Mus musculus: one gene and its partners. The protein of the gene in region 2 purifies or fractionates together with the protein of the main gene of each other region. This does not show direct contact. Links are inferred from orthologs where the notes say so. Each region holds a gene or a part of one and is shown on either strand. Other genes may lie near its edges.

Evidence for each region.
Region 1: the proteins of Prkaca (region 2) and Vapa purify together in Homo sapiens (affinity purification with mass spectrometry; 4 studies listed by BioGRID and IntAct, with this or other methods). This does not show direct contact. The link is inferred for Mus musculus from reciprocal best matches to the Homo sapiens genes PRKACA and VAPA.
Region 3: the proteins of Prkaca (region 2) and Cdk5rap2 purify together in Homo sapiens (affinity purification with mass spectrometry; 6 studies listed by BioGRID and IntAct, with this or other methods). This does not show direct contact. The link is inferred for Mus musculus from reciprocal best matches to the Homo sapiens genes PRKACA and CDK5RAP2.

What each region holds. Positions count from the first base shown.
Region 1 is NC_000083.6:65,611,243-65,614,989, forward strand, and holds the start of Vapa (vesicle-associated membrane protein-associated protein A), read right to left. Parts: upstream 2,314-3,747; 5' UTR 2,057-2,313; coding exon 1,978-2,056; intron 1-1,977. UniProt on the Homo sapiens protein: Endoplasmic reticulum (ER)-anchored protein that mediates the formation of contact sites between the ER and endosomes via interaction with FFAT motif-containing proteins such as STARD3 or WDR44.
Region 2 is NC_000074.6:83,972,108-83,975,840, forward strand, and holds the start of Prkaca (cAMP-dependent protein kinase catalytic subunit alpha), read left to right. Parts: upstream 1-870; 5' UTR 871-1,079; coding exon 1,080-1,125; intron 1,126-3,733.
Region 3 is NC_000070.6:70,263,802-70,267,448, forward strand, and holds part of Cdk5rap2 (CDK5 regulatory subunit-associated protein 2), read right to left. Parts: intron 3,248-3,647; coding exon 2,674-3,247; intron 923-2,673; coding exon 690-922; intron 1-689. UniProt on the Homo sapiens protein: Potential regulator of CDK5 activity via its interaction with CDK5R1. Negative regulator of centriole disengagement (licensing) which maintains centriole engagement and cohesion. Involved in regulation of mitotic spindle orientation.

The DNA of each region.
Region 1 (3,747 bases), on a different chromosome or scaffold from region 2:
CTATTCACCTCAATGTATCTTCTCACCTCAGGATTTACCCAACCACTCCCATTTGCATAACTTTCCCTAGGCAACTTGAAAGGAGCCTTTTTCCCTTAAAAGCTTCCACAGACATGCTACTCCCTCAAAGTACCACTTACCTGCCCTTTTCAGTAGTATTGGGATCATTTTTTTGGTAACACATAGTCTGTTGTATAAACACAGTTATTATTTAACATCAAAAATAAGTGGTCTATATGGATACTGCACAATGTAGTATTTCCAATCGTTTTTAAAACCTGTCTCATAAAAGACTTTTCACACATGTCTATGTGGTACAGATAATTTTCTCTTACAGTCAAAAGAGAAAAAGCAAACCACACAAAATATCGTAAAAATGTTCATTAAATCGCTTCTATTACCTATGGCTACTACAGTACTATAAGAACTTCTCAGCAAACCCCGCCCACTCCCTCCCCCCCTCCCCCCCCCAAAAAAAACCAATCAGGCAATACAGAAATTTGCTGCAGGAAAATACACACTACCCGAGGTTCTGAGACACTGTCTAGTGTCTCCCTTGTAGCCCGGGTTGATTTCAAACTTTGGATGGTTTCTGGACTTCCAGAATGCCGGGATTATAAGTGTGGTTCACGACCCAATTCCAAAGATATTAGAGCTGCCTTAAAATCACAATCAAGTTCTTGTCTAGTAAAGAGAAACTTGTGAATGTACTGAAACACCTGCAGGGCATGTGACTAGCAGAATACCCAATGTTTATAAGCCCTAAAACTATTTAAGATATAAAATCTTTAAGTGTCTGGAACTATTTTAAATTGTTCCCACAAGGACAATTCAGCTATTTTCATTTGGACTAACTCTTACACTACTATTAATGGGTTTACTTTTTCTCTTAGTACTGGAATCGATGTGCGCCTAAGGAAAATTGTTTTCATCAGTTCCTGAAATTAAAACGCAAGGTATTAACTTTCGGGGGGGGGGGAGGGGGGCACTTTACATTTAAAGATAGGAAGGATCACGTTTTCTCTTTAGCTCCATTCTTTTGGTTCTCCTTAAAATAAAGTAAATTGTTCTGTGTAACGTTTCGTTTCCTACACACTGAGAAGGCAAACCGCCTTGGATCTGAACAAGAATCACCAAGCCACTGTCTATCACAGTCAATGCTCCAAAGTCAACAGTTCCAGAGCTGTGTGGCACCTTAGCAGCTTTCTCGGGATACGCAGGGAAACCGCAAGCGTAAGCGGGTCACAAACGCTGAAAGAATTCTTCAGTAAAGACAGTGTGCACTCAAGGACTGGGTCCTCCGTACCTAGGGACAATCCGAGCTGACACAAGGGACCCACTACCATTAACCTCTGACCATGCATGCCCCAGCTGACGCACAGCTTTCTGCCGCGCGCCTGGGGGCCGTGCCAACACGCGGGGTCAGTCCCAGCCAGAGACTCTGCTGCCTGGTCTCCCGGCTCAGCCAGAGTCCCGCACCTGACCGGGAAAGACTCCGGGCGAGGCCGCGACCGTGAACGCCTCCTCGCCCGCGGCGGACCGCGCCTGCCCAAAGCCGCCGAACGGCGCCCACTGGCGCCCGCCGACTAGGGAGCTCCGGCTCCCAGTCGCCCTCCCGCACCGCCCGACCGCACCGCGCCGCGCCGCGGCCGCCCCTGGGGCAAGGACGCCATGCGGGCCGGCGGGCAAGGCGCGGGCGGGCTCCCACGGCGCCCCCGCGGGGCCGCAAGATGGCGGCGGAGCCCTCCGCGGCGCCCGGCGGCTCCCTCCCCTCCCCTCCGCAGCGCAGCCCAGCCCGGCCCGGCCCGGCCCGGCAGCGGCGGACGGCGAGGCGCGGGGCCGAGGGACGCAGCGGGGCCGCGGCTCCGACGCTCGGCCGGGGCGTGGGGGAGGGGAGCACGGCCCGGCCACCCCGCCGCCGCCCGCCAGCCCCAGCCCCAGCCTCAGCTCCGCTCCGGAGCGTCCCAGCCAGCCTACCTTTGAATTTGAGGTCTGAAGGAGGGTCGAGGACCAGGATCTGCTCGTGCTTCGCCATGGCCCCGGAGGCGGACGCCATAGGAGACAGCGCAGCGCAGAGCGGGGGCGCGCCCGCGGCGGCGGTTCGCTGGCGGGGGCGAGGGGACGGTGGCGGCGCCGGCTCCGCGGAGCTCTAGGACGGGGCCAGGCTCACGATTCCCGAAGCTCCGCGCCTGCTGCCGGGCCGCGGGGGTCCCGAGGGCAGCCTGTCCGCTCAGCAGCTCCGGGTGTCACAACTGACTCAACCCCACACCAGCCGCCGCGGCCACGCGCACTGCGATCCTCGGCGCCCCACGTGACGGGCCCTACGTGCCTACGTGCGCGCCCCCGCGGCCTGGAGCCCTCGTGCTGGCCCCGCCCTCCGGGCCTAACTGGGGGGTGGGAGGGGTCAACGCTGAGCTAGTGCGCCTGCGCACCTCCGACTTGGCCGCAGCTCCGGGCGCCGCGCCGCTGTCAATCTCCGTAGAGCAGGGTCGGGGGGGCGGAGCGGGGCTCTTTGCGGGGAGACGCGGTGCACGGCGCCCCGGGAAGGGGGTGTCGTTCTTGGGGCCCTGGAGCTGCGAGTGCGGGGCTGGAGCGCCGACTACGACGCTACCTCACGGCGTTCCAAGTGGAATTCCGAACGGAAGAGAGTCATGAAGCGCCGGGTACCTCGACTCCCAGCATGCCCTGTGCGGGCGGCGCCTCCGCGGTGGCTGCTGGGAACCGGGAAGGCGACCTGGGTCCGTTGGAGGCGAGTGGGTGGGGCCGCTGACGCGGCTTTTGGCTCGCCGAGGGCGTCTTGTCTGCCCTGGAAAAGAGAAGGGTTTTTGCAGGCTGCCTGGAAGCCAGGCATCCCAGGAGAGACCGCCCTTTGGGAGAGCGGCAGGGCGTGTCCCTCTGGTCTGCTGGGGATTCCTTCCGCCCTCAGCGAACGTGCGCTCCGTTCTGCCTGCTGTTCCAAGACTGCCTCCTCCCCATCTCCCTCCTGCCCAGCCAAAGGAAACACATCTCGCTCACAAGCGAACGAGTTCCAGGGGAAATCTGTGCCAGGCACAGTTTCTCTACAAGGGTAGAAACGAAATCTCTGTTCCTACAGCGTGGAGTTCACGTGCTGTATCTACAGTGTGGTTCACTTCAAACTCATACCCAAATCTGTTTGCCACATTCTCGTGCTAGGGACGAATTTTATCTGTATCACTTAGGAGAGCCTGTACCAAATGAGAAAAAAAAAAAAAAATGCCAAGCAAGTTGCTGACAGATATTCAGCCCCTTGCCAGGGTATCCAGGGACGGGAAGAGCAAACAAAACAAATGGATGTGCTGTAAAAACCTTTATTGTGTCCTATGGTGCTGCTTGAATTTAAATCTCTAGGAAGCTCCGTGCGAAACAAAGCACATATTCATGCTTCTGCCACGAAAAGGCACTCTAGATTGCTTGGAAGTAAATGTCGAAATGAGCAGTCTAGAATACAGCTAATTAGACTTTTTCAACTTGCCGCCCCGACACCTGAAAAACTTTCATGCCACTCGAGGTATATAGGATATAATAGTGGTATAAAGCAAACATTGGTCGTTTAAAAAAAAAAGTTTGTTTTCTTTCTTTGAATGCTTACTTTGTATCCTAACCTAAAAAATGAATTTTGAAAAGAAGCAGACCAAAAATCCATTTAAGACAAAAGCAAGCTTGTATGCAAACGAGATGGATTTCCTTGTTCATCTCTACGTAAAAATTATTTATTCTTGGCTGAAT
Region 2 (3,733 bases):
AGGCAATGGAGATTAGTTAAGAGCAAGGAACTAGCCTGACCGAGCCTCCATAAAATGGGAGTATGGCAGGCCCAACGTGCAAGGTACAAGAAGTAATGCACTTGGCTGGCGTCCGTAGTTACTACTTTTCAGGGGCCTAGGGTTGAGCCTTAGCAAAGAGTGTAGATACTCTGAGTCTCCTCCCAGCACGCCCTCAGTTCTGGGTCCAACATCCCCTTGCAGCTCCAGTTGTGTCGCGAGCAAACCAAAGCGGACCCCGAGCTAGTTGGGTCACGGCTGCCCAGTGTCGGGCCTCCTTATGAATGACACCGAACGGCGCCCGGCGACCCTTGACCCTCGGCGCCAGCCCGCCCCTCCCCCCCTGGCAGGTGGACAGCCGCTGCGCCGGCCCGCCGTGGCGTCAACCTCTGGCCCGTGGCCGCTGCCGCACTGGGCAGGGGCGGGAGACTGCAGCGCGCACATTGCCGCACGGGCGTCCGCCGGGCCGCCTCCCGCACCTCGCAGCGCCTGCCACCCAGCCACCCTCCAGCCGCCGCAGCCTCCGCCCCGCCCGCTGCCCGGGCCGCAGCCTGAGCCGCTGCCCCGCCCTCTCACCCCGGGACTGACACTAGCCGGGGCCGCCTGTCTCCGCCAATCGACGGCTTCGCAGGGGCAGCCCCAAGCCCTCTCGGGCTTCTCGGCCAATCACGTGCGTTCGCCCGCCCGACTGCGGCCTCACGAGCCCGTGAGTGGCGGAGAGTCTGCAACTCGCGTCACTCATCCAGGAGCCTATGGTGGCGCGGGAGGGTTCCGGAGGGCCAATGGACAGCGGCGTAGGGCTGTCAGTCAGGGAGGCCTGAACCAATGGGCGGTGGGCTGCGGGGGCGTCACGGACAGAGGACTTGGGCTGAGGCTCCCCCGCGGGCGGGCGCAGAGAGACGCGGGAAGCAGGGGCTGGGCGGGGGTCGTGGCGCCGCAGCCAGCGCAGCCAGCCCCAGGGGCCGCCGCCTCCGCTGCCCAGCGCGCTCCGGGGCCGCCGGCCACCTTAGCACCCGCCGCGTCGCAGCTCCGGGACTGGCCCCGGCCGCGACGCCGCCGCGATGGGCAACGCCGCCGCCGCCAAGAAGGGCAGCGAGCAGGAGAGCGGTGAGTGCCCGGCCGTCACCCTGATCTTCACTGCGTGCGGCCTGCCCGCGCAATGCCCATCACTGCATGGCCCCTCCCCCATATGCCCCCCCAATCTTGTCTGCCTGCACCCCTGCCTGCTGCCTGTTCACGTTGGGGTCGGATCACCGCAGAGATACTTTGCCCCCAGTAGGGCCTGGTGCCCATGGCCTACCATCCCCCACTGCAAAGGCCGTGCCCCCCCACCCAGCTGTCACTGCCAACCATTGCATGTATGACCGCCGGGGCCCCAGATGAGGCCCTGTCACCACACCAACCCCTCTTCTCCTAGTCCCTTTCTCCAGATTCTATACCCCCTCCCACTTCGTCACTTACCTTTCCCACACAGCGCCCCAATGCCTGACCCTGATCCAGGCTCCTGCCAGTTTCGGGAGTGCTGTGGGGTCCACGCTGCAGGGACCTTGGCCACTTGGTGACCACACCCCTCCCCCTCCAGCCCCCGCCATCTTTCTCCTACCCCTGCCCGATTCACCTCATCACAGCTCCCACCTCCAAGCCACCCCCACCCCCATGAGCATTTCCCGGGGCCACCTCCTGCATTGTTTTTCCCTTCTGTGTCACTTGGCATGGGGGACAAGATCTTTCTGGGTCCCTCTGCCCCTCTCATCCTGTCACTCCACCTCCTCCGTGCATTCGTCTGGCCCTGGCTGGGGTGGCAGACTGTTTATGAACCTAGAGAGCTGCTTCTGCGCTTCCTTATCCAAGTTGGAGCTGGTCTTGCTCAGAGCCATTACGTCTGTCCTTTTTCTTGGGTTGCGGGTGAGGTAAAGCGGCAGAGCACCCTCCTGGCCTACCCTGAGGTCTGGGTTCCTTAGAAGGCCCCTCAATAAATGGTCGTTTCACAACTGCGGTTCTGTCGTTCACCCAGCCCCTGGGGCTGGTTTGAAACTGCGGATGAAATGAATAGCAAAGGCTCATTCCACTGAATGGGGATGGTCAGAAGAATTGCGCGCATTGGGGTAACGCCATCCAGCAATAGGTGACAGCTAATGATTTGGTTTGCTTAAGACAGATGGATTCTGTGCATACCGAGGGCTCACCCAGAGGGAGGTATATCCACACACACATACACACACCCCCCCCCCAAAAAAAAAACCATGCTGAATTTTTCTAGCCAGGGAAAAAAAAGTGATTCTATATTTGAAATTACTTCAGAAAGGGCCTTGGGCCCTGTCCCCCAGTGCTTCATGTCTCAAAGTGGTGTCACTCCAAGCTAAAGCTGTACTGCAGCTGAGAACAGCTTCCAGTTACCCAAAAAGGAGGCTCTGATCAGCTGTGCCCTTCTCAGTGTCTGAGTCCCCCGAATGCCACTCAAGAAGCCCAAGAACTTTCTGCCCCTCCCCCCCCCCTTCAACCAGCAGAGCTCAGCCCAGCCTAGCAGCCTTAAGAGGCCTGGCATTTCACAGATGGGCGGGGGACAGAGGCAAGTGCTTGTAGTTGAGGGCTTGATGACAGAGGAGCAGGTGGGTAGTGCCCAAAAAGGTCTTGGGCTTGAGCTTGGAGGGCTCCGGGCAGAAGGAGAAGGGCCAGCCCCCTTGGCAGGTGAGGCCCACCAGGAGGTAGATGGTACGTGCAGTGGACTGAATACTGCAGTGGCCCCTCTGAAAGCTGAGCACAGTGCTAGGAAAGCTTTAAGCATATCAGACACACACAACAGGCACAGAGCCACAGAGGAGGGGAGAGCCCAAGGAAAAGATCAGAGTTTGAGAGTCAGTTGGACGGATGAACTCCGTGCATCCAGGAGGGCTTGGTTAAACGGTCTCCATAGACATACTTACTTTGATAATGTCTGTCCAGATGAGCCATCTGAGTTTGACACAGATGACAACACACAGGCAGAGTTCACATCCAGATCTGCTGACCAGCCCATCTCCTAGACCCCGTCATATCTCAACTCAGACATTCTTTGGTTTGCTTTGATTTTTAAAGACAGGATCTCACTATATAGCTCCTCTTGGCCTGAAACTTGAAATTTAGACCAGGCTGGCCTCAAACTCTCAGAGATCTGCCTGCCTCAGCTTCCCAAATGCTAGAATTAACGGCTTTCACCACCATGTCCAGCCTTCAACACATCAGCAGGAGTTAAACCCCAGTCATATTTTCTTAAAATGATAAAACAAACCCCATAATAGTGTATATTGACACTACCAGCAACCCAAGAGGCTGAGGCAAAAGGATTGCTTAAGCCCAAAAATTAAAGGCTAGCTTGGGTAACAGCAAAACCTTGTATCAAAATACAAAAGTCTACAGGATGGCCCTTAGGTAAAGATGTTTGCTATGAAGCTTGTTAGTCTGAATTGTCTTCCTGGGACCTACGTGATGGAGGGAGAGAGCTGACTCCTCAGAGTTGTCCTCTGACCTCCACGAGAGTGTGTGTACACACACAGTAAATATATAGAAACATTTAAAGAAAAAAAAAAAAAAAGAGGGACAGTGCCTCAAACCTAGCAAGGAAGGAAGGGCCTGTGACGCAGAAGGACCTGAGTTTGAGGCAGACCTGGGCCACAAAAGAGACAGCCTTTAAAAGCAGTAATAAACACTTTGCTCACTTCTGCCCATAGGTCCTAAG
Region 3 (3,647 bases), on a different chromosome or scaffold from region 2:
AAATAAGGTAGGTCTCAGCTACTGTTTGTACTCTGCCATTTTCCCCACCATGATGACAATGGACAAAACCTCTGAAATTGTAAACAAACTCCAAATAAATGCTTCCTTTTTCACAAGAGCTGCCTTGGTCATGGTGTCTCTTTAAAGCAACACAACAGTGACTATGACACTGAGTTATTGTCCAATTCCAAGAGCACTGTGATGCTCCAACCAAGTAATGTCTACAATATCAAGAATACAAACAGATCTAGCGGGAACAGACTTATGCGAAGAGATGAGTTGTAAAACCCCAGCATGGCCATGCATTCTCAACACAACCACAGAGAAGGTACTTCCTCTGGTGGACCACTCTACATACCATAAAACTGGACTCACTCACTCACTAACTCACTAGCTTCCTGACTATGAAAACCAAGAAAAATGGAGGAGCGGGGACAGTGATGTCGGTGAGTGACAGGACTGTTGCTGTCTTATGACAGAGATTGTCCAGGAGCACTTACCTAATAGGAGGGCTGAGAAAAACAAGGGGGAACAAGAGAAGCAAAGCGCAGGACTGTGAAGTAGAAGGCTGTTTCGGCTTAATGGCAGAACAGCCAGGTTTGTGTGTACAGCAAAGCCAACGAATCAAACCTGCTGGTGCCCACACCGAAGGAGCCGGAGAGTCACAGTGAGGGCCTCTACCTACGTACCATGGAGAAACAGCCTCTCCAGTTGCTCTAGCAGTCCAGCACACTGTGTCAGCTGCTCCCGGAAGCCCTCGGCCACGCAACTGTCCACATCACTGGCCTGCAGAAGCTCCTCAAACGCCTTGATCATGGTGCTCATGTGTTGACGGTAAATGACACAGATGCCATGGCTATCCTTAATTTGCTGTCGCTGAAGGGAGAGCTCCCTCGCTTGGGACTGAACCAATGAATCGTATCTGATAAAAGAGGGAAGGAAAATGTGTGTGTCATTTTCGAATTGAATTTTTGTGACCTCAACACTAATTGGAAAAATGACAGAGCATAATTTCTGAAAGCCCGTAGCTGTACAAGCATATATACTTTAGAAAAATTGAAACTGTACAAGGTCACCCCTTCTTTGAGTTCAAACAGCCAACAAATGCTTGAACAGAGATTCTTCTGCAATATTTGTAACCTTAGAGAGCCCCCAATTAAAGCATAGATTGGCAAGGACTCAGGAGCACAATTAGTTTCCATACACTCTTCAAAGACACTATTCTGAATTGTAGAAACAAATGCCCCAAGGTCAGGGACCCACTGAAAATTCTCACCAAGTACAAGTATGTATACGGCAAGGGTAAAAAGAAAGGACTCCCTGCTTCCAACGGAAAGAGTCAGTTGGACGCCAGGCCACCACCTTACTGAGTGACTAGGTCCCATCAGTCATGGGATCAAGTTATCGTAGGTCACCTGGTTCTCCCAGGCTTCTAACAAATGGATTCTTGCAGAGAAGGAAAGCTTTCTCAAAGGTATTTAGAGCTAAAGCTTTGCTTTTCAAACCCACAGAATGTGAAGAGTTATCATGCAATACCACCCCCTCACCACCAGGTGCCACCCTTCTCTACGCAGGCCCAGGAGTCGGTAAGAGCAAGCCTGCAGCTTCCTCAGACGAGGAAAAACAGTCACAGCAAGCTGTTCACCATGACCACTGTTAATACCAATACACTACAGGCAAATCACAGCAGCGCCATCTCAAGGGTGGGGTAGTTCCGGGGAACACTAAGAGTGGGCAGTATAGGCTGGAACCCTGGCAGGGGCTCTGACCACGGGCAAGTCACAGAAATCTCTAGGAGTCTCAGTTGCTCTGCTAACTAAAACAAGTTGAGAATGCCTCCTGCTCAGTGTGTCTGGAACTAAATAGTTGAGTTCTTTCCCAGTGGAATGGTACACACTTGCCATCCAGCACTCAGGAGGCAGAGGCAGGAAGAATATGAGTTTAAGAGCAGCTTCAACTATGTGGTGAAACTCCCATCTCAAAACAAAATCAAACAAACACGTCCGAGCCTGAAGGCTGATAAGTTTCCCTCAGTCTTGCTGCTTGGGTAGCCTTGAAAAATAAAATATCACTCTATCTCTTGACAATCCAGAACAGCGCTTTTCTCAAATTAGTAACGAATGAAGGTCAAATTTACAGACTATCCCGTTTTTTTGCCATATCTCACGAAGCCAGTGTACATATTTATAACTATAAAGCATTATCTTCATGACCCAAGAATTTCTTGCTTTCTACACAGGCTTATTTCTCTAAGATGACCTTAAAGGGTAAAGATATGAAAAACATTTATATTCCTCCCAACCTGCTTAGGACATCCATTTTATTTCCACAACAAGGCAAAAGCCAATAACAGAGTTCAGAAATAAACACAGCAGGCAGCTCAGTAAACACACTGCAATCCACCGTCTGATGGCTGTGGAGTTTCTACACTGAGTCCTCAGCCTGAGGAGGGCAACTCCTGCCCTGCCAGTCTCAGAAGTTGCCCAGCTCCTAACATACGCATGCATAGAGTGAAGCTGTGTGGCTGCCTGAAGCCCAAGTGAAGCCTTCCCTAGGGTATACTCTACCCACCCAGGGAGTAGCATTCGCTCAAGAGCTGCTGGGCTCCTACATAGCAACGACCTGGGAAACCTGCAAGCCTAATGAGGAGGATGAAGCAGGAATAGGATGTACCTTGATGGCGAGAGGTCTTGGAACTTGTTCTGCAGGTCATGGATTTCACCGAAAAGTTCCAAGTTCAAGTCCTGCTCCTTCTGTAGCTCCTGCTCCTGGTCCACCAGCTGCTGCTTGAGGCTCTCTAGCATCTTGCCATCAATCATCTCCGGGGTTAGTGGACGGAGGATTTTCATATGCTTCACATATCGTACTTGGTGCAAACTTGAAAATGTCATCTCTTCCTCATCAATATGGCCCTTAGGCTTGTTCAAGCCATCTTGGGCCCCTTCTGTCCCACACAAAACTGTGATAATAGCCTCACTGCACTGAGAGTGCTTCAGTAGCTGGACAATGATGTTCCGGTAGCCTTCCAGCTCGGTTTGCAAGTCGTGGATTTTCTGTTTTAAGTCTTCTGTGTCATCAGGGATATTGATATTCTCAGACTGGTCAGTTCCATTCACGCTGACTTTAACAGAGAGCTGACTCTTGGAATCCAGGTAAGTGGCTATGGAGGATGGGCCTAGGAGGTCTTCAAGATTCTCTTTGCATGCTGGTAATAAGGCAAGGTCATCAGGTGGACAGATTTCAGAATCTGAAAATCAAATACTAATCTTTGTCAGTGTCTCCTTTTGCTGCAATCAACTTCTTACCTCTACAGCTTCCCACAGTTGAATTCTGGATCTTAAATGTCCCCAAAGCCCATGTATTAAAGGCTTGGTTTATAACACCACTGGAAGGTTGTGCTGTGTTTAGGAGGTGGAGCCTTGTAGAAAAAAAGCATCACTAAAGAGGACTTTTAAGACCCTATCCCCCAAACCCTGGTTTCTAAATGGTTCCTAAACATTATGAGGGTGAACAGGTATACTTTATCAAATGTCCCCACCATGATATTATTCCCTCACCAAAGGCTCAGAGTGACAAGTCCAGGAAGTCATGGACTGCACCCATGAGTCAATATTCTCTGTTATTTCAAGTTGATTGTCTCAGAAATT